4 linked regions of the Rhinolophus ferrumequinum genome follow. The protein of the gene in region 1 interacts with the protein of each later gene in a pairwise test. Links are inferred from orthologs where the notes say so. Each region holds a gene or a part of one and is shown in the gene's direction. Other genes may lie near its edges. The genes, in order: KIFC3, ATF2, MED4 and STX11.

Evidence for each region.
Region 2: the proteins of KIFC3 (region 1) and ATF2 interact in binary tests that used the Homo sapiens proteins (3 or more experiments, as listed by UniProt). The two-hybrid records come from large-scale screens. The link is inferred for Rhinolophus ferrumequinum from reciprocal best matches to the Homo sapiens genes KIFC3 and ATF2.
Region 3: the proteins of KIFC3 (region 1) and MED4 interact in binary tests that used the Homo sapiens proteins (3 or more experiments, as listed by UniProt). The two-hybrid records come from large-scale screens. The link is inferred for Rhinolophus ferrumequinum from reciprocal best matches to the Homo sapiens genes KIFC3 and MED4.
Region 4: the proteins of KIFC3 (region 1) and STX11 interact in binary tests that used the Homo sapiens proteins (3 or more experiments, as listed by UniProt). The link is inferred for Rhinolophus ferrumequinum from reciprocal best matches to the Homo sapiens genes KIFC3 and STX11.

The regions. Positions count from the first base shown.
Region 1 is NC_046298.1:10,368,002-10,376,109, reverse strand, and holds the start of KIFC3 (kinesin-like protein KIFC3), read left to right. Parts: upstream 1-4,549; 5' UTR 4,550-4,691; intron 4,692-5,910; 5' UTR 5,911-6,192; coding exon 6,193-6,435; intron 6,436-8,108. UniProt on the Homo sapiens protein: Minus-end microtubule-dependent motor protein. Involved in apically targeted transport. Required for zonula adherens maintenance.
Region 2 is NC_046291.1:50,154,813-50,162,430, forward strand, and holds the start of ATF2 (cyclic AMP-dependent transcription factor ATF-2), read left to right. Parts: upstream 1-4,262; 5' UTR 4,263-4,416; intron 4,417-7,618. UniProt on the Homo sapiens protein: Transcriptional activator which regulates the transcription of various genes, including those involved in anti-apoptosis, cell growth, and DNA damage response.
Region 3 is NC_046287.1:89,288,049-89,295,940, forward strand, and holds the start of MED4 (mediator of RNA polymerase II transcription subunit 4), read left to right. Parts: upstream 1-4,407; 5' UTR 4,408-4,478; coding exon 4,479-4,603; intron 4,604-7,892. UniProt on the Homo sapiens protein: Component of the Mediator complex, a coactivator involved in the regulated transcription of nearly all RNA polymerase II-dependent genes.
Region 4 is NC_046286.1:88,729,197-88,737,529, forward strand, and holds the start of STX11 (syntaxin-11), read left to right. Parts: upstream 1-4,776; 5' UTR 4,777-4,963; intron 4,964-5,128; exon of another isoform or gene 5,129-5,138; 5' UTR 5,139-5,251; coding exon 5,252-5,321; intron 5,322-8,333. UniProt on the Homo sapiens protein: SNARE that acts to regulate protein transport between late endosomes and the trans-Golgi network.

The DNA.
Region 1 (8,108 bases):
TGTATTGTGTAATTTCCAAGTACTTGCAGATTTTTCCAGATATTTTTCTATTGATTTCTAGTTTAATTGTTTTATGGTCAGAGAACATAGTTTAAATGACTTAAATTCTTTTTTTTTAATTAAAGTTTATTGGGGTGACAATTGTCAGTAAAGTTACAGAGATTTCAGGTGTACAATTCTGTATTACATCATCTATAAATCCCATTGTGTGTTCACCACCCAAAGTCAGTTCTCCTTCCATCACCATATATTTGAGATTTAAATTCTTTTAAATTTGATACGTATGTTGTATGGCCCAGAATACGGTCTATCTTGGTGAATGTTCTATGTGTGCTTGAAAAGAATATTCATTCTGTTGTTATTGGATGAAATAGTCCATAAATGTCAATTAGATTCAATTGGTTAATGGTGGTGTTTAATTCTGTATCCTTGATGATTTTCTGCCTACTTGTTCTATCAATTACTGAGAGAGGAAAGTTGAAGTATCCAACTATAGTTGTGGATTTGTCCATTTTCTCCTTTTAGTGCTATCAGTTTTTGCTGCATGTATTGTGAAGCAGTGTTGTTAGGTGCATATATATTTAAGATTGTTATGTCCTTTTGGTAAATTGGCTCCCTTATCATTATGTAATGTCTTTCTTTATCCATAGTAGTTTCCTAGCTTTGTAATTTACTTTGTCTGAGAATAATACAGCCACTCCAGCTTTTTGTTTGCATGGTATATACTTTTCCACACTCATGCTTTTAACACATCTATACCATTATATGTAAAGTGAATTTCTTATTGGTGGCATATAGTTGGGCCTTTTTTAAAAGTCCAATTTAGAAATTTCTGTCTTTTAATTGGTATATTTAGACTACTTATACTTAATGTAATTATTAATATGTTTGAATTTAGGTCAATCATTTATTTGTTTTCTGTTTGTCCCCTCCATTTTTTTGTTTCTCTATTTGCCCTTTCTTGCTTTCTTTTAGGTTATTTGGACATTTTTAGTATACCACTTTAATTTATCTGTTGGCTTTTTTATTTTATTTCTTTGAATAGCTTTTCTATACAAATTTTTTTTTTTACTTATATACTAGAACATACTACTTTTAGTTCTATACAAAACATTTTCTAGCTATTCCATACAAAGAAATAGTCTACAAAGAAGTTTTTTAAGTTGCTCTAGGAATTACAATTTACATATCTAACTTTTCACAGATAACTTATAGTTGATACACCACCACTTCAAGTAGAATGTAGAAATTTTTTCATCATATAGGTTCCTTCACTCTACCCCAGTTGGGATCATTGGAGCTTATGGAGCAGTTATCACTCATAATATAAATGTACTTAGCATGAAACCTCTTGAAGCAAAATATGAATGTGTAATATTTCTAGTTAAGCATGGAGGCTTGAGCATATGCATTTATTTTCATCCATCCCTGAACCCAAATGAAATGACTGTAAAGGAATGAAAAAGTAAAAACCTGTAAGAATGAAGATAATAGAAGAGGAAACAACAGCAGACAAAGATGTCAAAGAATCTGGACTTAGAAAAGGGAGTGGGCTGATGAGACACCAAACCCAAAACAGGAATTAAATGAAAATTTGATTTTGAACAATGAGACCTCCAGCCTCCTTTCCTCTCTTAGGTCTCGGAATATTGGCAGCCAGGATTGTACCCAACTTAGACAGGAGATGGGATGATTCACTTCTGGGGAAACTGACCAGCTCAAGAGAAAAGACCTAATAAAATTGACAATGAAGGCCTTCCAATGAAAGATCCTGGTCCCCACTCTACCACCCGACAGGAAGTTCTTCAATCATGAGCTCTACCCACACTTACACTTCCAATTGACTTTGTAGTGTCCCATCCTTAAATATGAACAGAAAGTCAAGAATAATCTAACATGAAGTCTCTAACTTAAAAGTAGATACCGAAACAAACAGGAAAAAAAGAGAGAGAGAGAAAACAAACAATTAAAGCAGCAAAAGAGAGAAGGGAAAAAAACAAACTCCATAATTAATAGTCCCAGAGAGACAAAATGCAATTGTACCCTTGAAATTCTATTGATAAATGAATAGTCAGGAAACAAGAAAAATCTCTGGGGAATTAAAAATATCATGTGAGAGGGGAAATCAATAGGTGGGTTGGAAGATAAAGCTGAGGAAATTTCTTGGAGCTAGAACAAAAAGATAGATATGAGAAATGGAAGAGAAAAGCAAGGTAGAATCAAATCAGGAATTCCCAAAATGGACCCAAAAGAATTCTGGAGAGAACCAAGAAAATGGAAGGGAGAAAAAAAAAAAATCAAAGAAATAACACAAGAAAGTCCCAACACCTGAAGCACGTGAATTTCTAGATTGAAAATGTTTTGCTGGGTGCCGAACGCAATCATGTATCTCAGGTATGTCCAGGTATTTTTACAGTGTGTTTTACTCAGAGATTCCCACCACTAAGTGAAAGAGAAAATGTAGTTTATCTCTCCCCATTTTAATAAAATTTCCCCCCTTTAAGAAATGTCCCATTACAAACAAGAGTGACCCACTGGAAATCTTTTGAATTTTAACATCATGCTGTGAAGAACATTCAACACTCATTCTAAACACCTCTGCTCACCTCTTTTATTCTAGCAGCAGGGAGTTTATGTCCTTCCCTTCATAAAACAAAGGGCACTAATTCTGTAGTTTAAAAAACTATACTGACTCGGATCCTTGGAGAACTGCCATCATGCATTCACTGAGCACTTTACGTGCCTGAAAATCATTCCATCAGAAATGAGAAAGTAAATGCCTCCACGGATACACACCCGCAGAGTTTATCTCAATTGATCTCACAGATCTTACTTATCTGTGTAAGTAAGTCGGTATTGTCATTGTCTACGAGGTAATTTATCTCAATTAAACTGATCTGTAGAGAATAAATTGATGAGTGAACACTGGGTTTCATTGCTGTGCTTATTTACAACTGACCCTTTCAAATGAGATCACCAATTATCGAGAAACTGTTACTGTCGTTACCTTGAATTGGTTAAGGGTTTTTTTGTGTTTTTTTTCCTTTTTTGTCTCTAGCAGTGGGACCCAAGTTCGTACTGTAGATATAAACCTCTAAAGCTTACTTCTAGCCTCTCTGCTAATCCCTGTACCATCTGATCACTCAGTGCTGTTGTTTTCTGCTGGTTCAAGAGCAACAACGAAGTAGGTTACTTACCATGACAGCTAAGGGGAGAACATTTTTAGGATTCTAGGATTCATCTTTTGTGGAGGGGAGAAGAAGAGAGACAAAACTTAAATCATCATAGACATCCTCTCACAAAGTGTAATTTTATGTGAATATTTCCTGCCTTGAAAACAAAACAAGTTTAACGTGGCTGCCTCCAGGGAATCTAGGTCTTTAGATTTTTTTCTTCTAATAGAATTTGACCTTGAAAAGGCGTGCCTAACCTCTGCTGTTTTTCTTCAAAGCTGCTGCGTGAAGGTATCACAAGCATAAAGTCCTCAGACATGGTAAATGTTTTTGTTAAAAATACTATGTAGTCATTCTCAGGGCTTCTGTTTCGTGAGAGAGACGCGTTAGTGGTCTGCACACAGAACTGAAAATGAGATTCATAGGGCATCTTCGTCTGGCCCTGAATTTCAGCTCTCTGTGTGGTCCTTCTTCAGTCAGCTGAATCACTCCTTGTTCAACTTGGCTTTCTTTATACTAAAGAAAACAATGACTAAATTACAATGATTCTGGGACACTCTTACTTCCCAAGGGCACCATAATAACGTGAACACCCATGTGGATAAAACGAGCTAATCGCTTTAGTAGACTCCCCAAAATGTACGGCAATTTCGAGGCATTAGATATAAAAGGATGACGTGGTAATAAAACTTTGGCTTCTGATTTATTTTTTAATTAACAACAGAGTTGCTCCGACAATAATTTTTCAGCGTATTTTTAAATTGTTTTGCAAAGGATTCTTCTAGCCTCTGCATGGAATCTGAAAGTATATACTCTCGAACAATGAGATGAAGGAAACAAAGTCTTAATGTTCTCTTAGATACTCACAGTAGCACCTGCAAATTACCTTATCGGACTTGCCTTTCCTGCTTCTAACAAAAAACTGGACGGCCCCATGTGTGTTTGACACACACAGACTCTATTTGAAATTACAAAGGAAAACAAATTCCTTTTTATTGGTCATATCTTTGTTTTGCTCATAAAAGAGTTACTCCAGGTCATAGTCAAGCTCATGAAATTCATATAAGTAGAAGGTTTCTCAAAACCCAATTCCCAAGTGTTTGTTTGGGGAAGGAAATTGGACCTGTCGGAATGGAACGAATGTGGACAGTGCTGCAGCTCTGAACCAGCCCCGGGATTGACATTTCTAATCTGCTTTTCTCGTTAACACCCAGATGGAGAGGGAGACAGGGGAGGCAGGACGGGCTGTCTGTGACCAGATTCATTAAAGAATCGGGGCCTGGATGATTTGACGAGGGAATTTGCACTTGTGGGGGCTGCACTGGGCCATCCTCTCTGCCCGGGTGTCCAGGTTTCCCAGCAGGACACTGCCTTCTAGCATCTGCAGCAAGGCCACTTCTATTAGGATCACTTTCTACTATTCGCTTTCTTCAGCCATCAGTATTTATATGTAGAAAGTGGAGTGCCTGGGGCCCCTCGCCCACGTTGGAGGTCACTGCAAGGTCACAAAGGCCACAGGTAGGGAAAGACGTGTCCTTCAGCTGTCTGCTTCTTCCAGTCCGATTTCGGGTCTGGGGCCGGGAATGTCACAGTGCTCTCAGGACAGCTGAGAACCCAGTGGGTGGGTTGGGGGGGTAGGCAGAGGCTTACAAGTGGCTGGAGGGGGGCACCTACATGGTCTCCAGCCCCGCCTCCGACACTCTCTCCCCCATCTCATCTCCCCAAGGGGCCAGAAAGTTCAAACGTTTCCTCTCTTCCCTTTCTCATGTTTCTTCAATAGAAATTCCGTGCCTCGCAGGGACTCGCCTTCATTTCACAAATCTTCACTGAGCCCCTTCCACATGCCGGGCTCCATACAGCTGCCTGAGAGATCCTGGCAAACAAAAGTACACCTTGTAGGTTTTCTCCCCTTCACACAGGCACAACAAATAAGTACATCATTCACATGTCACAGGTGTTAAAGGCAATGAAGGAAGAAAGGAAAACCAGAGCAGGGTGTGGGTTGGGGAGTGGAGGTGGAAGATGAGGGGTGAGCCTCTTTGTGGAAAAGATGCCTGAGCAGGTGGGGAGGCAGGGACGGAGGGAGCCACGTGGATATCTGGGGAAAGAGCATCCAGATAAAGGGGAACAACCTGTGCAAAGGGCTTTAGGGTGCCTGGTGGATTTCAGGAGCAGAGTGGAAGAATAGAAAGTAACGGGAGGTTTGCAGCTGCGAGTCCTGAAGGGCCGCTGTCAGACTTGGGCTTTTTCTCAGAGCGACAATGGGAACCATCGAAGGTTCTAAGCAGGAGATTGACATGGTTCGACTTTAATTTTAAGAGGACTTTCTGGCTGCTGAGTTGAGAAGTGATGATAGTGAATAAAGGGCTGGAAGTGGGAGACCAGGGGGAACCTCCTGGAGGCATCCCGGCAGAAATGGTGGGCGCAGTGGGGGTGGGAAGAAGTGGTCAGATTCCAGATGCTATTCGAAGGTGGAGCCAGGCAGACTTGTCACTGGTAGGACGTGGCGTGTGAAAGAAAGAGACAAGGATGCCTGCAGTTTCCGCTTGAGTCACAAGAAGGGTGCTGTTGCTATTAGCTGGGGTGGGAAGGCTGGGGGAGACGCGGGATTTGGGGAGGGGTGAAAAATTTGGGGAGAGGTTCAACTGTGGATATCTTGAGCTGCCACTTGAATGTCAGGAGACTCATTAACTTTATTTTTGCCTCCCCTGCTATAACAATTCGAATTCTTCTCAAGACCGTATTGACTGCAGCGGAGACACACTGGCTAGAAAACTCAGAGGACAATATTTGAAGACCTTTGCTTGTGTTGCCTGTGACCCGGGTCATGCCCTGGAAACTAAAGGAGATCCTGTCCTCAAAGCCTTTTAATTGCTGGACTAAAGACTGAATGCCGGCCTTGTTCAAAACCAAAGCCACTGCTGGTCCAGCTAGGAATTGGTGAACCAAGCAGAAAATTCCAGGGCACAGGCCATTGCAGGCCCCAGTTTGGAAGATTCTGTTCCCACAACCTGACAGCATGAGCCAGCCCGTGGCTGCCATGTTCCTGGTTCCAGCCCTGCTCCAGCTGAGCTTGAAGAGTTGGGCTCTGTGGAGGGGACGAAGGGGAGAATGGGAAAGACCCCCCAGTGCAGGCCAGGAGGAGACCTGGGGCTGGCACTGGCTTGGCCCCGGCACCTCCAATGGATCTGGTCCTGCCAAACTCCAAGCCCCTTCCCCAGGAAGCATCCTGGTCTCAGAGACAACGGTCCATGGCTTACAGGTAAGGAGCAGACCTTGCCAAGGAGGGTCACAGTTCACAGTGCCTTTAGATAAAGGAAAGAAACTTCTCCAGGATGAAGTATGGAGTTTTTTCTTCAAGTCTTGTAAACATGTCTGAAAGTTGCCAGATTTAGGCATTTCTAGTATCTTCTATACTCTCAGAAGCTCCTGGCAAATGACCAGATCTAACTGAGTGCTAGGTTTTTCCTGTGATGAATATCTGTGCAGCCACAGCTGAGATGAATACTTCCTGGCCAGGGGACTTTGAAGAAGTTACTCAGTTGCTCTGTACCTCAGTTTCCTCATCTGTAAACTGGGGATAATAATGCATGTAAAGTGCATAACCCTGGGCCTGGTTGACAGTGAGCGCTCAATAAATGGTTGTTTATGTTCACATTCCGACTATACTGTGGTGGGATCTCTTTCAAGTAGTTCAGAATGAATCCAAAACCCTTTTATCTGAACCCTCCCAATGTGCCTGTGAGGTAATCTGTTTTTGAAAACCTTTCTTTCACCAGCTCTATAATGTTTCTTTAGAGGAATTTGAATACAGTTGTGTGGCCTCCTGTTAGGATCCTGACTCTGCCCCAAACTGGCTCTGTGACCTTGGGCAAGTCACAAAACATCTGCTATACCTCAGTTTTTGGACCCATTAAAATGGGGATAACAGACTATGTCTCATTGGATTGTCATGAGGTTGAGAAGAGATAGTAAATGCCAAGCGCTTTGAATCAATACCCGAGTTATTTGTGTTGTTGAAACTGTTTTATTGAATTGGATTATAAAATATAATTATTGAATTATTATTGATTTTTTTTTATTGCTATTGTTGTTGTTGTACTTATTGTTGATAAAATGGCAGAGCCTGAGATTAGTTTTTGAGTGATTCCCACTTTGCTGCTCTGGATTGCATTAATTATTTACAAGTTCATTATCTATCTCTGCTTGATTGATTGATTTCTTCACTCAACAAATATGTATTGAATGTTTGCTCTGTACCAGGCCCTTTTCCAGGATGTGAATAGGCCAACACGATTCTCTGTCTTGGAGCTTGCACACCTGGCAGGGGAGGCAGACAGAAAACAAGATAATTTCAGACTGTGATAAGAGTCATGATAACAATAAAATACAGAAAGAGGGCAGGTGATGGGAGGCTGGGGGTGGTCAGGGAAGGCCTCTCTGAGGAACTGACATCTTTAAGACCTGAGGATGGACAGGAGCCAGCTTGAGAAAAGGACAATGAGGGTGTGGGGATGTCAACCCAAATAAAGAGATAAACTGAGGCAGACTCGAAAGACCAGAAATTGAGTTTATTCAGGAATAGCAGAGGAATTGAAATTCGGGAAACACATGTAGCAAGCTATAGGGGAGTCTGTTGAGGGTTTGGGGGTGGGCTGTATTTTTGGGAAGGAGTGTAAAGAGCGGGAAGTCTGGCCAGAGACCAAGCAGAATGTTCATTGGCTTAAGGATGGGAAAGGATTCTTGGTGGATGTCCATGGTCAGGAGAGAAGTCCGGGTCTTCTGCAAATCAGGCGTTTATGGGAAATCAGTCTCCGTTCCTAAGTTCTATTCTCCTGAGGGCACACGTGGGACAGTCTCCATTTCATATCCTCTGGTTCTGCTTCAGATTGAAATCCTTTCCCAGGTGTGTGTGTGTGTGAATGGGTTAGCCCA
Region 2 (7,618 bases), on another chromosome or scaffold:
TATGTGGGCCTCAGGTTGACAAACAGATTAGCCGTGAAGGGTAGATACTGGAATGCCAGACAAAATTATTTACCCTAGGAGAGATTCTATCTACTTTTATTGGAAAGCAGAATATAATGAAAAGCCTTCTTTCTAGTGAGTGGGATGAAAGATTGGTTGAAGGTATTGGTATGAAAGATGAAAATAAGGCCCTTAAATTGCATTCTCTGTCCTTGGGCTGGTCTCACTGAAGCTGGTATAAACTAATTGGTATGATTTGAAGATAAACACAGCCCTCTCATTTATTTCCCCACAATGCCACACACAATAAATACATTATTTTGAGAAACCAAAGATTGGAGGTGGGAGGTGGACATGGTCCTCCCTGCAGTGAAATGTTCTGAATCGACATTTCCATAGTGAGGATAGGCCCTGGCAGGTAACTATAACAGGTCATTGCGGCAACGTGCACCCTGGGCTGTCAGAGATGGGGAAAGAAGACCTGCCATGAGATAGAAGCTACCCTAAAAATCAACTAAAATGTCTAAGGCCATGCTGTCCTCCTCTCTCTGGTATCAGGTAGGTGGATAATCATGCTCTGCTTCTTCCACGCCTTTTGTAACACACACACACACACACACACACATCACACACCACACACCCTAGTGAGTTCACTGGCAAAATCCCAGCTAATGCACTGTCCTGGGCAGCGTCTTGTGGATACCTGGGAAAATGCAGAGGCTCTTTCCCTGAGTCCAAGGCAGATATAAGGGATATCCTGGAGTATGTTATGTTTTGTTTAGCTATAGACAAACAGAAGCTATGTTTTATAAATTAAATCTTCCCTCCTTATCTATCTAATTTGAGCAAGGTTTTAGTAGAATTCTTATAAGCAATACTATAAAATGGCTTAACAACCACATAATACTTCTAAACGAGGTGGAAATACACATATGTAGCACTTGGAAAGTTTTGAGAGCATTTAGAGGCCACTATTTTATTTGTGTGGTATTTAGTAATGGGTATTTTGCAATAGAAACAAGTTTTCTTCTCATAACCTGTTCTTGTAATAAAGGATGCCAGTTTTATCCTGAGTTCTTAAAGGAGGTTTACCAGATCCTTACTAATTTTCCTAGGAGTAAGCTGGGTAGACGCATGCATGGAATAATAAGGCAGGCAAAAAATGGGTCCAGAAGAAGCTTCCTGCATTCGTAAAGAAAAGATTGGAAAGACCATTAGGGCTTTTGGGGAATACTGAGGAATGAGGAAGTGTGAAAAAAACTGAAATATAAAGAAAGTATTTTATAAGGATATGGATAAATATGAGACTTACACATTCACAGGACCAGAACCAAAAATAATTATATTCATTTTGTCTACACCAATGTTCTCCACTTATAGAAAAGCTATAGTAAATGAACTGCTGTGGAGCTGGTAAAGTGAGAGCCTTTGCTAACCGCCAGGCTGTCAACATGCATACAGAACAGATTTGCATCCTTCCCACCCGTTTTCTCCCTGATCTCCTTTAATTTTATCTCACTTTATACCTTCTCTTTAGAAAATTAGCTTAAAATGGCATTCTCACAGCAAATAAGAGTACTATTTGTATTACTAAATGATTCTTCTCTTGTCTAAGAGGACTCCTGAAAGACTTTCTTTAAAATAACATGTACCTCTAGTACAGGGGTATCCAACCTTTTTTAAACGTTTTTCACCCAGGGCCATATGCGGTAAAATACACAAACAGCCGGGCCACTCACTCGAGGTGAAGTACGTGTTGCCTCACCTGGTTTATTTAAGTAAACTAAACATATTTTTGGAATTTGCTGCGGGACAATAAAAAATGGATCGTGGGCTGCAGTTGGCCTGCGGGCCACAGTTTGGACACCCCTGCTCTAGTGCATTATGTAGATAATTACTTAGACTGGAGAAATAGGGACAAAGAAAAATTTAAAACCGAACCTGTCAACTGAAAACAAATCAAAATTGGAGAAAAGAATTTCAAATTTTTGATATGTGAATGAAAAATAATAGTTTAAAAAACTACTCTAATCGATGCAAACTTCTTTTAAAATGCCATAGCATAAAAAAAAAATGCCGTAGCATTTATAGTTTTTTTCTTCTCACATTAGACAATTTGGGAGATGGAGAGAAGTAGCAACACATTAGGTAATAATGTATTCTAGACGTAAGAAGTTGTGATTTGTTAGTTGCACATTTTGTCCATTAGATGTTCATCATCAGTATTACACTACACACTAACTCTACTACAATGTTATTGCTACTATATAGGGAGGGTACTTTCATTTAATTTGAGAAGTAAACAGTGTTAATAACCTGGCTTCTTTCTGGTCTCTTTTAATGAAATTAGTTTTAAAAGTGAGTTGGCTCTTGTACATGTATACAGGCCAGAAACCTGTTAAAGACCCAGTGCCGTTACAATTTCACTTTTATGCCAAATACCATTACGGAACTGCAGGTTCATTAACTCTCAAATACTATCTCCCACAATCTTCCAACAATTTCGGTTTCACTTTGGTTTAGAGATGTTTGTGAGTGCATTTTATGTTAATACTTAAAATTTACTCATAATTTTTTTGAAGACTAGAAATCAGCACCTACCAATGGAAAACAAGAAAGTGAAAATAACTTGCTTTTTTAAAAAGTAGTTAATGGAAATTTCACAGGGGCCCTGGTCATATTTTTCAATTTGTGCCAGTATGCATTTATTGAACAATCAATATCCCTAAAGTTAACATTTAAATATTTAAGTTGTATAGAGAATCATAGAACATTAAGAAATATTTTCAGCATTGTACTTCTGTGTTTTTAGGAGTTTATCTGTGACAGTGATGGCAGAGAAGTAAATATGGTCTCTTTTGTCTCTCACGTTAAATTAATCAAGTGATCTGCCCCTCTCCTCTTCTTAAACAGCTACTTTCAAAGCTTGACAGACATTTCTTTGGCATTGCAGCCACCTATTAAGCAGTGGGATAGTATTGTGGAAAGAGTGCCATCTCTATGCCATATTCTAATTTGGTGTCCTTTGGGTCTCTCTAAAATAGAGTTGTTGATGTTTTAAAGATCTGAAATTATCTCTACTAAATTGATAAATTTTATCTATATCTGCTAAGTAAAGGAAATTAATAAAATGGGATACACCGTAATATGGGAGACTTTTCTTATAAACAAGTTCTTGCACTGTTTTAAATTAGTGGTACAGTAAAAGGCATTCTATTTCCTTTTGGTAAATTACTTCGAACATAATTATATGCTAACATCATACATACACTACACTACTACCACATTTCCCCGAAAATAAGACCTAGCCGGACAATCAGCTCTAAATGCGTCTTTTGGAGCAAAAATTAATATAAAACCCGGTCTTATTTTACTATGTGACCCAGTCTTATCTAACATAAGACCCTGTCCTATCTAACATAAGACCCCGGTCTTATATTAATTTTTGCTCCAAAAGACGCATTAGAGCTGAATGTCCAGCTAGGTCTTATTTTCAGGGAAAGGCTGTAGGTGCTTAGGAGCTGAAAGAATCACTTCTAGAGTTATAGCTTAGGGAAATTCGAACGCCATTCAGAGTAAAGGTTTTTTTCTTTTCTTTCTAGAACTGACATACTTGCTTTCCCGCTTCAAGCTTGTAGCTGGTTTGCGGGTTTTTTCCCGGCAAACTCCGCCCCTCCCAAACCTCAGCGTAATCCTGACTCCCCCTCTCAGGCTTCAGGGTACCGGAAGACGGGTTTAGGCGCGCGCCTCCCTATGCTTTACCTTCTTCCCACCCAGGGCCAGGAAGTGACAGCAACGGAAATACCGGGCTCCCGGGGCTGGGCTCGGGGGACTCAGCCCGCGCTCTCTCTGCCACTCACAGCCTTTCCAGAGTTCACCTTGCCTCTCTGCACACCGTCAAACTCTTCCCGTGACCTCACCCTCCACCTGCCCCAATGTCCCACACCCAGCCGGCTGCCAATCACAGGCTTCCGCAGGGCCGGGCTACCGAGACACCTCCATTGGCTCTGTGGTCTCGCCCCCTCCAGAACTGCTGCCCGCCCTCCGGGCGCTTTGTCCAATCATCAGCTACTGAGTGTCTTTGGTTCCGCCTCCTCCATCCCCGCCTTCCTGAAGTCCCGCCTCCTTCCCCTCAGGTCTGACGGCATCACCTGACCCCGAGGCGCTCGGTCTGAAAGAAGAGAAGAAGGGGCGTGAGCGTGGAGGGGAGGGGCACGAGAAGAAAGGGGGGGAATGCCGGGAGTGGGGCGGGGAGAAGGCTTGTCAATCCGATCTCGCGAGAGAGGACGGAAGCCTGTGGGAGCCCGTGGCCTTTAAAGTGCCGTTCAGCCCTTTCCTCCAGGGGTAGTTTGTAAACACGGTTGAGCTCAGGCCTCGCTGGCGACCGAAAGAAGCATGAATGAGTGACCTGGAAAGGTGAGTAATGATGGGGAGAGGGCCACAGGACTAGACACTGTAGGGATACGGAGAAAGAAGGCACTAACATGGCGACGTTGCTCACCATAGTCTCCACCCCCCGCTCCCCATCACCTCGGGCGCTCCTGCCTCGGTTCCTAGCCTCCCGGCCACTGTGGCTGTGCTGCCGCCTCGGCCGCCGCGCGGCGTCTGCTGCCCGAGCCCGACCGGCCGGGCCGGACCGTTAGGTAACCGGTGTTCGTTGTTCCGGCCCCTCCCCGCTCGCACGCTTTCCTAACGAAGAGGAAAAAGGAATAACGGCTCTGAGACCCCTCCCCCCGGTTTATCTTCTCTGGTCAGTTTAGAGGGCCCTGGGCCACACGTCGGATGCGCCCAGGGCTCGGGGAGACCGCTTCTACCCTGGAAGAGGGCTGGCTCTGGTCTCCCCACCCAGGACTCAGTGGTTGGGGACTGTGTTTGTGATGGTGGCGGGCAGGTGGGTAGGGAGGCGCGGCTGAAAATAGGGTCAGGGTCTCTCTGGCTGCGGTGAAACGATAGAACAAATGGTATGGAGAACCTGGGACTTGGAAGTCTCGGCCTTTCCTGTCCCTGCTGCCCCCGCCACCCCCCACTTTTTCCCGCTGGGGCGGGGCTGAGTGTGGGTGCAGATTGATTCTTGTGTTTTCCCCCATATTTTACCTCCTTGGGTGCACTGCAGAGCTGCTGGTGGGAAATAACCTGTGCTTTTTATCAATGCCCGAAGGGCCAGAGAGAGAGAGTTCTGTGTTCGCTCATTGAACCGACGCTGGAAGGCGGGTGAGGGTGAAAGACCTGGGACTACTTTTGTGCCCTTAGGTAGTATAAAACTGTCTTTGCTTAATGGGGAGTCTTAAAACTGGTGAGGCCAAGAACAAAACTACAGTGAATACGATGGCATAAAAGTGATAACTCCTGATGGACCTTAGGCCTATTGAGTAATCCCTAAATTATAATGTGAAAGCTACAATTTCTTAGGAATTTTAAATTATGGAACCGGTAACAATGCATAAATTTAATGTATGTATTTGAAATCAGAACAAAACTGTTCTCTGAGCACACTTTTTGTCCTATGTGAAGAAATTCATAACCACTGGCATTGTCAGTAATAGCCTTTCTAGGCATAATCTTTAAATAACCATGTATTCTTAGTCCATTGTAACAAAGCTATGAAGGTGAGTAGCTTGTTAAAAAGTCAACCCTACAGGATTAAGTGCCCTAATGACACATATAGTAGCAGTTATGTCTCCTAATTCAATTTGCTACACTGACTTGAGGAATCCACTGTACACTTTTCAAAATTGCAGGAATATTGATATAAAGTATGTATTATAAAAAAAGATGTCTTTCTGAAGATCAAGTAACAGAATAAAGGAAGTTCATAGATCTTTAAGGCCATCAATCATTAACAATTAACAATCCTAGTCTTTGTAATTTATAGGAATCTTGCAAATTTACAGTGGTGTGTATGCTGCTTTCCTGAAACATGTTTAATCTTTGAGAAGATGCTACTGCCATTACGTTTTAAATTATTTGAAATATAATGTGGTAATTTAGAATTTGGTTGTTTGTGTTTGAATTGTCAGTAAGAAAGGAGCTTTCAGGGACTTTTTTGTGTGTTTTTAAGGTACATAATGCCTTCTGTAGATCTGATTGCATTTCCTGAAAGTTCTTTTATAAATACCTTATTAGAATATTTCATATTTGGGGCACTATGTTCTGTTCTATTAAATATGTATTCCAGAAATCCCTGTATTTACTTTTTTTAGTTGGAGTTTTTGTTTCATATTTTTCAACTAAGGTAAAAGTAGAAATGGTTATTATGTCAGCTCTTTTAACAAATAACATGCAGGGATGATTGTTTTTGATATTCACTATTTTGAAGCTATGAATATCAAAAAATTATATGCTATGCATCGAATGTCTGCTACTTGTAACTAGTATTACGTCTCAAGAAATCATTACATTTTTTCTACCTAAATTTTTGTAATTTGGAAAAGTTGGGTTTTAATGATTTATATGTTCTCTGCTGGTATTAAAATTGTTAGATCATGTTAGATCAACTCTGGATCTTATTATCTGTATCAGCTTAGGCAAATAATCAAACCTCGTTTAAAACCCAATAACAACAATTGGAAATTCAGTTCATCCTTATAGAAATCAATGCATGTAGTACTTGTTATCTATTCTCTGTAATTAAAATGTACTTTAAAAAAAGAAGCTATAAATTTGCATTGCTATACTCAGTAGTTTAACTTAGTATTTCTGTGTTTATCCTATACTCACACCTATTCCTTGAGGCTAACTAATTTACCTAAGATGCTACATGTTCTCTTAATGTAGTTTTTATTGGTGAGGTAATAGTGATAGTATTTACCTATTTCTAGGGAAAAACACCACAAAACATGTTATTTCTTTTGTTCTCTTTCTTGAGCTAACGGTTAAAAAGTTAGTATAAGGTATAGTTTCATGGGCATTTAAGAAAGTTTGTGGATCTTTAAGGCCAACAATAATTGGAATTATTTTACATATATTATTATAAATATGTCATATGTTATAATTAATAATTATAAATACATATACAGAGGGTTCCAAAAATTATACACATTTTAAGAAAGAAAAATACTGTATTAAAATTGTAATACTCAATATATACCGATAACAAAAGATGAATACAAGTCACATTTGACTTCCGCAGTTACAAGAGGTGCTCAAAGTGGTTACCGTCAGTGTAATTTTAGTACAGTTTTTTCCTTTCTGTATACATTTTTTTGGCATCCTCTGTATATTATATATACTATTTTCATTTATTCTGTTAACCTTGAAACTGGTATATTCGTTTACATTTTTAAGTACATTTAGTGATGCTTTTTTTCCTTGACATTTTGGACAGTGGTAGTAAAGTGATTAAAAACTTTTCTTTTTTGCAGTAAGAAGGGATGTAAATAAACAATACTTTTGGGGCAAGTCCCATTCACCCATGTCTGTATTCTGTATCTTAAAGATAGAGAGGTTCTCAACCATTTTCTCTGTCTTAATACCCAAGGAATAGAAAGCACTCCCTACAGTAGTAATAGCTTATTACCACAGCGATTCTCAACAAGATTAGTGGGGAAAGACAGAGTGGGAATGATTGTAATTAGCAAAAGCCATTTTGGCAAAATACCAAGTGTATTTTGCTTATTTT
Region 3 (7,892 bases), on another chromosome or scaffold:
TGGAACTATGGGAGAATGTACTCTGGCCAGGTGAAGTTCATGCGCAGTAGCTGGCAGAACTGTGGGTGCAATGCTGATGCGTGGGCAAACGTGGTGGTGGTGGCAATCTGTACGAGTCCTCTCTTCTGATTTCTCCTCTTTTCTCAGTGAATTAGAAAGCAAGATCTTATAAGTTGAGAGTGGTTAGGAGTGGTTTGGAGAAAGGAAATGGTGTGAAATTGGGTCAACAATGTGAAGAGGGTCTAAACAAGGATATACAGTTTGTCCAGTAGCGTCAAGGGCCCACTGCGGGTTTGGGGTTTGGAGTTACGAATTTCAAGTATAACCAGTTGACTTGCTTGTGTTTTCCTGCAGCCATTTTCAGTTGCATTTGTACAGGCATGTGGTATGTAGTAAGCAAGCTGCATTCAGTCTAGGGTGTCATCTTGCCAAGAGAGTAGGACAAATCAAGACAGGGGCAAGGAAGTCAAAGATTTATGCAAGGCAATTTTAGAAATCTCCAAATACCCTTTGACTTACAACCCCTCCATATTAGTTGGCTAGGGCTGACATAAAAAACCAGAGACTGGGTGGTTTAAACAACAGACCTTTATTTTCTCACAGTCCTAGAGGCTGTAAGCCCAAAATCAAGGTGTTGGGTTGGTTTCTTCTGAGACTTTTCTCCTTGGCTTGCAGACGGTCACCTTCTCACTGCATCCTCACATGGTATTTTCTCTGTGTGCCCACATCCCTCAGTGTGTTCAAATCTTCTGTCCAAATCTCCTCTTCTTATAATGGTATCAGTGGGATTGGATCAGAGCCCGCCCTCAGGCTATTATTACTTAACTTAATCACTTCTTTGAAGGCCCTACCTCCAAATACAGTCACATTCTGAAGTCCTGAGGGTTAGCACTTCACTGTAAGTATTTTGACGGCATACAATTTAGCCTCTAACTCTATCCATCTATGTAAGGCATCCCAGATAGTCACCTCAATGCAACACTGTATTTGTACAGGTTTGCTTTAACTTTCTGCCCCCACAATACAAGTTATACAGACTCTGCCTTTGGGGCCCTTCACGTAAAAAGTGTTGTTTTTCTAAGAGTTAGGGTTGATATTCTTCCTACTTTCTGATGCTTGCAGATTATTTTAATACACAGTAAAAAATATATTTCATATTTGTCTCAGTACACACATGCATAAATATATAACTGAAAAAATGTCTACAAAGCAGTATAATGCACTTTGATGTTTTAGAAATTTTCTGTTCCATTCCATTTTATTTTTAAAATCTCTACAGAGATGTCGGTTAGGCATCTCAAACAAATGGCAATCACATAGTTATGTGTAAATACGAGTACAATAATGTAAGCATTGATTATGGATTTAACAAAAAAAAAAGGATTTTTTCTATAGAGAGGATAGAGGAAGGGAATGGGATATGTTAGAGAGATAAGATCTTTGTTCATCATACCGGGACAGAAATAAATCTCTAAAAGTGTTCAATAGACATAGAGAATATATGCATATTATGTAAAAATATGGAAGCAAAGCAAAGAAGAAATAATTGAAAATGTTGCATGTGGTTGCTGCTATGGAAAATGATATGACAGGATATGGGGGTTGGGGAAATGGAGAATGAGAACATTTTTGTTATCTTTTGAGTTATCTTTGAGTGCTATATTGATTAGAATAAAAAATGACTTTAAAAAAAAGACATAGTATATGCAGCCACCTCTTCTCCTGACTCTTAGGAACAGGCCTGGTAGAGTTTCTTGCTGCACATTCAAACCTCCACACCAAACATTTGTAGCTTTTTACACAGAATTCTAAACTGTGCATTTCACAGTGCTTATATTTTAGACCAGAGGTTCCCAACCTTTTTTTCAGTAAATGAAGACACTTCCTTCTTTAAACGAGACAGGATAACCAGTAGCTAAGAGCATAGACCTTGGAGAGAGACCCTGGGTTTAAATCCCTGTTTTGCCACCTACTAGCTGTGGGACCTTGGGAAAGTCTCTTAACGTCTCAGCCTCCGAGCTTCATTATCTGTAACATAGAGATAATAACAATACTTACCTCTGGGAGAGTTATGAAAATGAAATGAGTTCATTTTTTTTAAAGTGCTTAGAAAGAACTATGCCTAGCAGGTTAAATACATAAAATTTCACAAGAAGGTAGTACTTATCCTTTTGAATCTATAGATGGAGAAAATACACTCAAAGTTACCATGAATTTGGTTATTATAATAACAATAAAATATATAAAATATTCATATTTAATTACTATATTATAAATAATTCATATTTTATTCATCACAGCTAGATCTGCAGTTTGCAGAAGAGTTTATCTGTAGGATATGCTATTACTTTATCAGTCTATAGACAATATTCAACGTGCATATAAATTTGCAATAACTTTGAGGTCTAGAATTCACAAAACACATATAGTGTCCGTACATTGACCCCCTCAATGCCCGTAAGGTAGCGACTATAATTGGTCATTTTAAATTGATTAGAATCTTCCCAGAATTTTTATGTGGAAGCTACATTAATATGAGCCTCTTCTCTTCCTGCCAGAATTATGGCCCAAGGTGAACCTGTGAGAGTTGAGTAAACAAATCCCACATAGACGGCAGGAGTTTAGGCCCTTGGAAAAGTAACATAAGATATTATTGACTAGAGCTACTGAGAGGCATGCTTAGAATACAATTGTAACTAAGAAAGCTTAAGTCTAATTTATTCCATTGCCTGAGACTGTATTAATAGAAGGTAAATCTAATTTATTCCATTGCCTGAGACTGTATTAATAGAAGGTGTTAGGAGCAGAAGTGGGGGATGGTTAAAAAACAAAAGTGTCCACTAGTCTTTTGCATTGTCTCAGGGAGGAGGCACCCTGACCTATGAACACAAATATTCCAATCTCTTTAACAAATATCCCTACCCTATGAAGATGCAAATCCTGATGATTGCATTAATTCTTTTTTTAAAAATCTATCTTCACTTGTTCTGATCCAAGTTTATAAGCAACACTTTGGTGATAATTTGGCTTTCTGTGTAGGTTTGTCTATGAGTAAAATCATGCTCATTGTAAGTGAATAAATCAGCATTCTGGATTATATAGCAGTTGCTATGAATGAATTTATTTAGCATGAGTCCCTGAGGGAATCCTCAGCTCTGGGTACCCAGCAGAAGGACAGATCAGAGGACAAGATGCTAGAATGAGGGGACCACCGTACTCCTGCCTCATTCCCAGCTGTTGTCTGTAGCTGATCTCTCCCCATCTCATCTTTTCTAACTGCAATTTGACCCGATGCAGAACTCCCATTCCCAATACTGTTATAGCTTTGGGTTTTCCTGGTAGGAAAGTCCCCTACTACATTGTTCTCCCCCAGAAAAGTGGGCTAAGGTACATTTTTGGCTTTGATACTCAGTTCTGATTTGGAATTTGTGCTACACCAATTATTTAAATTATTTTCATTAACTACCACTTACATACTGTGTTGATTCATTCAGTTCAACAGTCATCTTGAGCAATGAGCAACACATTTTGTTGGGAGATACATGATTATAAAGATGGATTACGAAAATGTGGAAGCAACTCAAATGTCCAGCAACAGAGCAAAATGTGGTGTATATACACAATGGAATATTATTTATCCTTAAAAAGGAAGGAAATTCTGACATATGCTACAATGTGGATGAATCTAGAGTACATTAAGCTCAGTGAAATAAGCCAGTCATGAAAAGACAAATACTGTATGATTCCATTTATATGGGATACCTAGAGCAGTCAAAAATCACAGAGGAAGAAAGTAGAATGGTGTTTCCCAGGCGCTAGGGGTATGGAGGAATGGGGAGTTGTTTAATGAATACAGGGTTTCAGTTTTACAAGATGAAAAGAGTTCTGGAGATGGATGGTGGTGATGGTAGCACAACAATATGAATGTACTTAATATCACTGACATGTGCACTTATACAGTTAACATTGTAAATTTTGTTACCTGTATTTTACCACAATAAAGAAAAACAGCAGGGGAAAATAAAAAGATGGATTATGGTTCCTGTGCTAAGGTGCTTACAGCTCCTGAGAGGCCAAACGGTAGGGTGGGATTAGTGTTAAGGAAATGAAAACTAAAGAGAGTTTAATACTGATGAGACCCCGCCCATTTCACGAAGAAGCTGATACAAGAGTTAGGCCATTACGTAATTCCTTCAAAGCTTAAAATCCGTTGAGCAGAAGCTTCCCATTCCAACTTGCAGAATGGAAGGTGCAGTAGAACCTGACCCAGTTGCGCCTGCCAGCTGGGGTTGGATCGCAGAAGCCCTCTCTGGCCCAGCAGATGGCGCAGGCGTCCGCAGTGAACCTCCAGGCCCCTAGGCGGCGCTGTGACCGGGCCTCTCTGCCCCTCCTCGGTGACGCTTCCTTCCGCCTCCCGAGCCCGCCTCTCCTCACCAGCGCACAGCTGCGCAGACGCCGGCTGCGTGCCCGTGAGGAGCATGGCGGCGTCTTCGAGCGGCGAGAAGGAGAAGGAGCGGCCGGGATGCAGCTCGGGAACGGCGGGCGGTAACAGCACGCGGGAGCGACTGCTGTCTGCGCTGGAAGATCTGGAGGTCTTGTCGAGGTAATGTCGTCGCTTGAGGACCTGCCTCAGGGTTGGCGCTAGTTCCAGGGGCTCCGCGGGGAGGGTGACCCCCGCGCTCACTTCCAAAGACAGCGGCGAGGTTGTCGTGGACGTGGCGTCCGCAGCCGTCGGGGACTTCCAGACGGCATTCCCTCCCCCCCGCATACCCCCCTGCCAGAGGACGTTTTAATAATGACCCTGGAACCCCAAGACTGCCAGAACCGTAGCAGACCATAGAGATCGCCTGGTGTGAGCCCCTTCGACCACGGACACTCTAGAAACATTTAAAAAGCTACTACCGGCTGTCAAGGGCAGGGACACGGTAGTGAGCGGGGGACTAGATGTCCGCGAGAAGGAGCCCACTCGCTGTCAAGGGGGACAGACGTGTAAACAGATGACAGGCGCGGAACCGGTTTTTATCAGAAGCTTGCGCTGCGCGCTACTGTAATAGAGCAGGGGGACGAGGCGCCTGGCCTGGTCGTAATCAGAGTAGGCTTCCTGGGGAAAGGACTGCCTGGGAAGAACGAGTTCACCAGATGCACTAGGCGGCAGGTAGCAAAGGCCTGGGAACCTGAGCACGCGCGACGCGGTGGAATGGCAGGTTTGGGACGGCTGGAGTGCAGTGTGCATGGCAGAGGTATGAGATGAAGTTGGATGTCATTCTCCGGATTCTGTCATCTTTCATGATAGCCTGTCAAGTTGGAGGCTTCCTTAATTCCCTCACATTCACTTGGATGTTAAAATTGTTTGGGTTCTTCCCCCTAAACTGTCGCTGAGATTGGACCTCTTGTTCTCATCCACACTGTTTTACATCCTATTCTTAACTGTTAAATAATGCGTTGCCTACGGGCGTCTTCTTCACGTTATCATTCTATTTTGCCCAAGAACAGGGTTATCTTTTAAAGAGGCATCTCGAATTACTTTTCTGCTTTAAAATATTTGGTAGGTTCCCATTGCCCGATGAGATAAAGTCCAAACTCTTTAGCTTAGTGTGGGATAAAGCCATTCTCCATTTCCTCTGAATTTATCCATCCTCTTGTTCTCATTTACATCCACATCCCTCCGACCTCCCTACCCTTCACTCCAGCCTCAGTGAATGCTTTCTATTCTAAAGTTCTACTTCCTCATCTTTAGTGCCATTCCCACTCCACCTCCAACTTGATGAATCATTCATTCATCCTTCAGAATCCAGTTTAAATGTCATCTTTTCTGTAGCCAACACTCTTGGACAGTTATGTTACCTGACCCTACTAATGGTCAGCATTTTATCTGCTGTGAATTTAGTCCTTGCTATGGCATGCATTACTTACCAGATGAGTAGGTCAGCATGATATTAAGTGATGTAATAAAAACACACACCAGAAGTTAAATAGTTTATGGGTTTAATCCACTGTTTAGACTATTAGACTCAAATGCTGCCTGACTACAAATAGAGCACGTGGAATCTACAGACAACCAGCAGTCAGTACAGTGAACAAGAAACTCAGAGGCATAAGGCAGCTGCCTTAATGTGTTGCCTCTGTGTAAATGTTTACACAGATGAATGTAAACGCTATTTTCTTCTGTTTTTGTTGGTTTTGTAGTTCCTGTCAGAAACCTTGTCAGTTTCCTTTTTCAGTTAATCCTGTCAATGAATACCAGCATGATTTCTTAGTAAAAAGACACTAACAAGACAGCGTTTTCACGATAAGTTTTTCGTTCAATTATTTATGTCTCTGCTCTGTGTAACATGACTCTTGGGGACAGCTAGTTGAAGCTTCATTTAGTTCACGTTCAGGACTTATTCTTTTTAAGTTCTTAAACACCAAGTTAACATCCCATACACACTGACTAGCCCACTACTTTTCTAAATAGGGCCAACTGTCATTTGCAGAACAATGCATTCAACCTACCTGCTTTTAGAATCACTGGTCATCCAAACTGGGTCTCTGAGTACTTTGAAGTACCTTGAATAGGCAGCCATGTAATTCTGATGTAAATTTGTGTTCCATTAGATTCAGAGCAACTAATGATTAATTGGAAAATACCTCTGTTGCTCCTGTTTGAGGTGATTTTTCCACTTCCTTAAATTCTGGATCGTGTTCTATTTGAAATGGTCCGTTGAGCTATATCTTCTTTGGGGAGACTGCTCACCTGACGGCCAAGTCTAATGCTTGACTGGCTTCTAACGTCTTTGCAAAGGAATCTTGATGATACTGTCACGTACGAAATTGAGTTAAAATGTTTCTTATTATTTATTCATTTTGACCAAGCATATGGAATGGATGGTAGTGATTAATTTTTCTGTAAATATGTTGACTTTATAAAGACGTGACACCCCCTTTGGGAAGTAGTGACTGCTGCCTTTTGTTCTGAGTACTTCTTAGTCTTAGAATTTCAAATCTTTGCCTTAGCGTATTCATTGAGTATATTCAGTGTCTCACCCTTCTGCTCTGGAGCCCAGTAAATTGATTTATTTTTGAGTTTTACTTGCTGTAATATAATTTGTTGGTCTGTTTTTCTGAGTAACCCTAGTGTATTTTATATTTCATGTTTACTAAGTTCAGGAATTGTTTCTGAGTCTACTTACCAGACTAATGGTCTTGGAGAATTTCTTCTGACCTTAGACAACCCAGCGGTCAATCTTGAGTTCTTGCCTGTGGATCGCTGTGGCAGTGGGCTGTGTATCTGAGGTGTGTTTTCCAGATGCTGTTGGTACGTGTAGGAGTGCATATAATTGATATTCATGTACTCTCCACTTGAGATAACATAACTAATTTATGTTATGTTAAATTTGAGACTAAATTGAAATTCTCATATATCCAGATTTGACCAGTTTATTCCTCTTTGTATTTGATTCTTTCCTTGATTATCAAGTATATAGCATTTTCTGTGTGAAATGTATTTATTCACTGAAGTAATGAATCATCATTTAAATTTTCCTGAAGAACCTCAATATTTGTGAAACTTTCTCTTTCAGCTTTTCAGTTGTACATGAACAGTTGAGGTACTGAGTCCTCTTTTGCTTCCTCTAAAAGAAGCTGTAATTCCTCTGTTGCTCTCTTTCCAGGAATGCCGAAAAGACCGATTTGTTATTTGTAGTCTTCCTCACTGAATCTATTGATAAATTGGTGATAGGCTTCTTTCTTTCTGTAGGCTTCGGTAATAACCATTGTCTTAGAAGTTCATTTTTCTTTTTCTGATTTTTCTCATGACTTATCTGCCATGCTGTTTTATTTGTTCATGTCTAAAGAAAGACTGTAGGTGACAGTAGGTAAGTGAAAATTTACCTCTTTTATTATCCTGGAGG
Region 4 (8,333 bases), on another chromosome or scaffold:
CTTTTATCTACAGAAGTTCGTTTAGGTCTTTTTCATATTTTCTATGTCTCAACTTTTTGAACATATGAATTCAGTTATAATAACTGTTTTAATATCCTTGCCTGCTAATCCTAACATTTTGTCAGTTCTGATTGGTTGTTTTTCTCCGTATTATGTGTTGAATTTTCCTGCTCTTTAACATGCCTGGTAATTTTTGAGCGGATGCCATAGATTGTGTATTATACCTTGTTGGGTGCTAAATGTTTTTGTTTTTCCATAAGTATTCTTGAACTTTGTTCTGTTAAATTAGTTGAAAAACAGTTTTATCCTGCTGAGGCAAAACTCTTCCAACCACGCTACCCAGTGAATTATGAGGCTTTTCCTGTATGGCTAGTGGGAATAGGCATTATTTATGGCCTGTGTGAGCGAAAGTTACTGCTCCTTCCAATCTTTTTAGGTGTCTTTGCTCCAGCTCCAGGTAGTTTTCTCACATGCATGCACTGAGAAATCTCTGTGACTCCTTGGAGCAGATCTCCTGGGGTCTCTCTCTCTCTCTCTCTCTCTCTCTCTCTCTCTCTCTCTTTCTTTCCTACGAATTTTAATCACCTTCATCTCCCTGGACATTTATCTTCATCTCCTTAACTCAGGGAATCTGCCTGGTTTCTTCTTTTCCGTGCCATGTGCTGGAAACTCTCTCAAAGCAATAAGCTGGGACGAACGGGGCTCACCCTGTGCGTTTTCCATCTGTACCTTCAAAGTTACTACCACATTCATGTGTGTATGTAGTATCACATACAGTATTTCAATTCATTAGCACTAAATATAATCATAAATATTCATTAAAGACATTTTCATTACATTAGACTTATATGTTGGTATTTTATTATACGGAGAGTTTTAAAATTACTGACTCATTATAACCATATGTTACCAAAAAAAAGGGTTCTTGTATCATCCCAGAAAGGAATTCAAGGACTAATCGAATGAGTCGTGAGAACAAAGCCAAGCAAGCAGTGGATTTATTGAAGTAAAGAAAAAGAGTACACTCCCCAAAATAATGGAAGTGGGCCAGCCAGGAGGAGGGCAACTGCACCAAAGAACAAAGAGGCTTAGGGTTGTATTTGAATGAGAGTATGAACTATTCAAGTTTTAGGGCTGGTGTCATAGGTATTCCCAGGGTGGGTCCCTGCTATCCTTGCTGACCACTCCTTCCTGTTGGGAGGTGGGATTCCCTTGTTTTTACTGGCTCTTGTGGGAACTTTCATGGCGACACAGGGGTGGAGAATTTTCCCGGCCTGCAATGCTAATGTTATTGTAATCTGTTACCTTTAGCTGTAGCTGCACCTTTTCTTAAGAATGACCTCATTTCCTCCTTCCTTTGTCTCACCCTTCTCTCCCCACACACTGCTCTTTCTGCCTAGTTCTTTCTGCCTACAGTAACAGGACCAGGCTGAATCCAAAGAGAACCACACTGAGACACATTATAATTAAACTGTCAAAAGTTAAAGACAGAGAGAATCTTAAGTAAGCGAAAACAACATATTACACAAAAATAGAACAAATAATTCCAAAATGTGTATGAAACCACAAAAAGACCTCAAATAGCTAAAGAAATCTTGAGACAGAACAAAGCTGGAGGCATCACATGTCCTGATTTCAAACTATTTCACACAGCTGTAGTAATCAAAACATACGGTATTGGCATAAAAACAGACACATACATCAATGGAACAGAACAGAGAGCTGAGAAATATACATATGCATCTATGATCAAATAATTTAGAACAAGTCAAGAATATACAATGAGGAAAGGATAGTCTCTTCAATAAGTGGTGTTGGGAAAACTGGACAGCCACATGCAAAACAATGAAACTGAAGCTCTATATTACACCATGCCCCAAAATCAACTCTAAATGGGTTAAATACTTGAACATAAAATCTGAAACCATAAACTCCTAGAAGAAAACACAGGGGGTAATCTTCATATTGGTCTTTACAATAATTTTTTTGATTTGACACCAAAAGCAAAAACAACAAAAGAAAAAATAAACAAGTGGGACTACATCGAACTAAAAAGTTTTAGCACTTCAAAAAAAAACCATCAACAAAACATAAAGACAACCTATAGAATGGGAGAAAATATTTGCAAATTCTATATCTGATAGGGAGTGAATATCCAAAATATAGGAAGAACTCATACAACTCAATAGCAAAACAAACAAACAATCAAAAAAACAAAACAACAACAAAAAACCAATCCGATTAAAAAATGGGCAGAGGAACTGAACAGACATTTCCTAATGTTGACATAAGAAACGTCCAAACCTGTAGAGAATTTTAATGAGTTTATTAGAGCCCAGTTGGCTGTGGTGAAGTTGGCTGTGTCCTGAGGGGTCTGGAAAAAAAGGGATTACTCTGACATTCCAAGGGTATGTTATTTTAGATGCAAAAAAGACAACAGACAGGCTCACTTAAGGTCAAGATTGACCTGCGAAGGAAGCGACAGGCCAAGGATGTGACAACCTGCCATGACCCGCTTTTAGTTAGGAATTTTTATGTCCAGACCATCCTATATAGTTAATTTCAGTCTCTGAGTTTGTAGGACTCACCATGCTGACCTCCCCTGAGCTTGTCGGTTTAGCATGTGGCCCCTTCTTCATTCACACTAAAGAAGATGTAGAAATGCCCAACAGGTACATGAAAAGGTGCTCTCAACATCGCTAATCATCAGGGAAATACAAACAGAACTTCAATGAAATATCACCTCACACCTGTTAGAATGGCCATCATCAAAAAGACAAGTGATAATAGGTGTTGGCCATTAATGTGGAGAAAAGGGAACCCTTGTGCGCTGTTGGTGGGAATGTAAATTGGTGCAGTCACTATGGAAAACAGTATGAGGTACCTCAAAAAATTAAAACTAGAACTACCTTATGACCCAAAAGTTCTACTTGTGGGTATTTATGTGAAGAAAATGAAAACAGTAACTTGAAAAGATATATGCTCTCCCGTGTTCATTGAAGCATTATTCACAATAGCTAAGATATGGAAACAACCTAAATGTCCATATAATATATACACATTATATGTATATACATATATATGTATACACATAATATATATGTGTGTGTATATATATACACATATGTATATATATATTACTACATATATATATATATATATATATATATATATATATATATATATATACATACACACCATGTTTCCCTGAAAATAAGACCGGATCTTATATTAATTTTTGCTCCATGACACATTAGGGCTATGTTCAGGGGGTGTCATCCTGAAAAATCATGCTAGGGCTTATTTTTCAGTTAGGTCTTATTTTTGGGGAAACACGGTATATATATATATCAGAGTAATTTTAATATAGTTTTTTCTTTTCATAAAACGTGTATACATTTTTTGGCACTCTCTCTATATATAACAGGGTTGTCAAAAAAATGTACACAAGTGGACACTTGGTCAATGTTGCACAAGAAGTAGTTCGTCATAATCAGAAGTGTCTGGATGCTGATGGTAATCACTTTGAGCACCTCTTGTAATTGCAGCAGTCAAACGTGACTTGTATTTATCTTTTGTTATCAGTATATACTATTTTAATAGTTTTTTTCCTTTCTTAAAATGTGTATACATTTTTTTGATATATATATATATGTAAATATATATATATATGAATATTATTCAGCCATGAGAAAAAAGCAAATCCTACCATTTGCAACAACATGGATGGAATCGGAGGACATTATGCTAAGTGAAATAAGCCCGAGAGAGAAAGACAAATACTGCATGGTATCACTTATATATGGACTTGAAAGAAAAAGTCAAACTCATAGAAACAGTTGAAAACTGACTGCCAGGAGGTGGGGTGGGGGAAATAAGAAGAGGTTGGTAAAAACGTACAAGTGTTCAGCTATGAGATGAATAAGGTCTGAGGATCTAATGTAAACATACTGACCATAGTTAACACTGTATAATATAATTGAAATTTGCTACTAGAGCAAAGCTTAAATGTTCTCACACACAAAAGAAGATAAATATGGGAGGTGATGGATATGTTAATTAGATGGTGGGACTCTTTTCACAGTGTATACATACATCGTCGCACACTTTACACATTTCAAACATCTTACAATTTTATTTGTCAAGTATACCTCAATAAAGCTGAAAAAAAAATCCAAGGATTGATGATTCGAGGTGAATATATATTTAAAAGAAAAAGTCATAGTATGATGAGGATCATTTAAATGAGTATCTGTTATCCTCAAAATAAAGAGAATAATATAGCTAATCAATGAAATACAAAAAACCCCAATGCACTTTTCTATTTAAAAAAAACTAAAGATTTTTCGTTTTACTTCATCAAAACAACATTAAATCCATGTTTATTTTAATATTTTTGATTTTATATTTTTAATGTGTAGATTGGTTTGGATTTTATATTCTGTAGTCATAGACATTTATACCACGTCTATGTAAATAACATTGTATATATATTATATTCAGGTAACATTAGAGTAGAAATAATTTGTCAATCCTGGGTGCCATATATTCTTTTCCCTGAAGAGGGGTCCGCTCATTATCGAAGTTGGAGAGATGATGTACTAGGACCATGAAAGAAATAAGGTGTGAATAGATTATGTCCCCCACTGACATTTGCATTGTAATCAATTCTGATTTGTAGGAGCATTTATTTTGTAAATGTTTCCTTGTGACTAGGGATGTAGTGTTGTGGCAAAAGTTCCTGTTTCATAACTCTCCTTTGCGCATCACCAACTTATAGAAAATACGGTTTAAAGAAATCAGCTGGAGTGGCCTGCTTTCAACATCCAGAGCTAATGATGCAAGGCTGTGTCAGGCAAAGATTCCTCCTCATGCTCAGGGGACACAAGTAAAGAGCGGCGAAAGGAGAGGAACATCTGTCAGCTTCTCCAAGGTCTCAACAACATCATCATCCCAAAGGCAGGTATGCTCAAGGAAAGACTTTGTTGAATGTGTGCATTGAATGTGTGAGTTCACTGCTCAGATTGCAATCTGTTTTCACGGTTACCTTTAGTAAGTTCATCTTAAAGCACGTAGTCATCATTTGAAACATGCTTGTTTTTTGTGGTGCCAATATTGTATTTTTAAGTTTTCTTTAGGGTCACGGAGGGAAGCTGGCTGTGGTCCACAAACTCACAGAAATTATAGACTGTATTTAACGAAGAAACCCATCCCTTTGAAAAGGGAAAAGGAAGACAGATAAAGAAAAGACATGGAGCTGCAGCAAGGGGATGAAATGGATGAAGAGGAAAACGAAAAGAAAATCGTGTCTCAGCCCCAAAGTAAGGATTTTGGGAGTAGAAATACATAGTTTCTAAACAGATAGCACAAATCATATGGATGTAAAACTGTTTAGCTTCTTTGTGAAAATTACACTTGCTGAGAACTAAATTAATGATTCAAATTCAAACCCAATATTTAAAGGCTTATGACTAAACTATTATCTGTGACAGGCACGGCTTATTGGTTACCTTCTGTTGATGCTCTTGTTTCACTTTTATCAGTTCCGCAGGACAGGGCCATGGTGCAAAAAAGGGTTTACGAGAAGTGAGTATTGAGTAAGAGTCTCATCTTAAAATACTTTTGCAACTTGTTATGCAAAATCACAGTTGCAGAAAAATTGGTTTCCCTTAAGAGCTATTAAGCAGATCAATTCTACTATCTCTAGATCAGGTTGTTTCGGCCCAATCTCTTTTACAGAAAGTATTCTATTTGTATACATAAATTACCCAGTACATGCTAAACTTCAGGTCAGTATATGCCAATATGTAAGAGGAAAGTTTTCACTTAATTGCCATTTGGGTTAAAATAAGAATGCAACAGTATCATTTCAGGAATTATAGGCAGGAAAAAAATTTAATACCAAAATCATACAATGTTCACCACTTGATTTCTACCCCTCCTTGTATACCATGCACAGAAAAATAAGCTTATTGAACAACAAAAAAATTTGCTTTTCTATGAGAGTTATGTGTTGCATTCTTTTTTCTTTTAGAGTAATTTTTCTAAGCTTACCTAGATTTTGACATTGCTCTTTGAGTGTAGGTAACAGGATAGAAGAAATCATTTGCTTTGAAAAGTTCTCATTTTTTGGTTCTTCTGTGGTCTTTGATGTTGTTCTTGGAATCTTTATTGGTGTTTAAGAACTTGGACTGTTGTGTCAGACACTAGGATTTGAATCCAGGATCCTTTGCTTGCTGCGGTTGGGGGAGTGGACAGGACGGATTTCCTCCTCTGTCATATGGGGCTGAATTATGAACACCTCATACATTTCTGATGAGAATTAAATGAAATAATATATGAAAACGTCAAAACAGTGCTTAGCACATTATAACCGAACAATAAGTGTTGGTTATCTTTAACATTGGTATTAGCTTTCTGGGGTTTATATTTTTTAATGATCTGATGTTTGCTAATAATTGTACATTGAAATCCTGAGCTTCAAAGGTGTCTTAGTTCATTTGGGCTATGCTGTAACAAAAATATCTAACCGAGCAGCTTACAAACTTCTCACAGAACTTCTAACAGAAATTTACTTCTCACAGTTCTAGAGGTTGGGAAGTCCAAGATGAAGGCCCTGGCCGACTCCGCGCGCGCGTGTGTGTGTGTGTGTGTGTGTGTGTGTGTGTTGGGGGGGGGCCCACTTCCTGGTCATTGGCCGTCTTCTCACTGCCCTCACATCTCAGAAGGGGTGAGGGAGCTGTCTAGGGTCTCTTTTACAGGGACACTCATCCCATTCTTCAGGGCTCCATCCTTATGACTTAATCACCCCGAGGCACCACTTCCTAATATCACATCAGGGATCAGGTTTTAAAATATAAATTTGAGGGGGACACAATCTTGCAGTCTAAGCACAGGGTTAGAAACTGTTCTCCGGTAAGCTGGGTGGATTGAGTAATGATGGCTTGTTTGCAGTACTGAGGTACAGATTTCCTCACACATTTAGAGGGAATTTAAATATTATTAGATATCAAACTATTTAAACCCTTAAAAGTTAACCTATATACTTTATAGAGTCTTAGTTTTATATCTCCAAAGATTACACGTTATGTAGAGAAGCTATATGCAAGAAGATTTGCCTGTGAATCTGAGAATATTTTTTCTAGCCTGAGTACATCTGAAAAAAATTTATATCAGATGACATACAACATGATTTCTTCATACAGCTAACTAGTGGATTGAATTCAGGAGATGATATTATCATCAAGGAACACTTTTTATAAAGACTATAGGTATAAAATTTTCAGAATAGGATTTGGACACTGTCCTTTACCTACTAATTAAGGATACTGTGTCAGTTAGGATCTCAACCTAAAACTGATAGCACATTCAAATTAGAACAATTCAAGGAAGGTTTATTAATAAGGGTACTATTATAAAGATGCAAACAGGGTGGGAACCATAAGGGACCCCTGGGCTGGCATACCCCAGGCCTGAGACTCATGAATGGGGAGAGGTATTCAGAACCAGGAAGGAGAGGAATCGTGTAGAACAGACCACCTTAAATAAGAGGGACACAGACAGGCTTTCTGTTCGGAATAAATGCCTTGACCTCATCCCCTGCTTTTGCTCTCCTGCTCGAGTTCCCTATTGGTCAAGCCCAAAAGAAGTCTAAAGGCCTAGGAGCCTGTTTCCAAAGTCCATTCAGATCAACCTCCCAGGGTCGAGAGTAGGATGGAGCAAAGCAGAAAGTGGATCTAAAGAGGCAAACAGAAGAGATCTGCACATATGCTGGAGATATAAAAATCTAGAACTTAAATTTTCTGGTTATGACAATTCCTGGTGGCACCTGTTTATAAAACAGAGTTGTAGCTTTATAAACATGCACCAGACAAGCTCCAAATAGGAATTAAGGTTTAAGCCACTGCTCAAACAATAGCTTGAAATCCATGTTCTGTAAAAAAGAAAAATCCTTTAAAACGGTATTAGTGCTAGATACATATTCCTATATTTCATTATACCTGGGTGTCACCCTCTAAAAATGCTGTCTCAGTGCCCTGAGCTGCCCCAAGTTCAGGTCAGTGCTTACTTTGGTCATTCACTCACTCACTCACCATTCCACAAACATTTCCTGAGAGCCTCCAGCGGCCTAGGTATTTTGCTAGCTAAGCTTTGGGTAAAAAGTAGTAAGTGAAATAGACATCATTTTCCCTGTGAATCTGGGACTATTTTTTGAAGGTTATGGTTTAGTAGATAAGTATTTTGAATGATGTAGAGAAAGATATAAATATCAGGTTGGTGCAAAAGTAATTACGGTTTAAAAAGTTAAAAATAATCGCAAAAACTGCAATTAC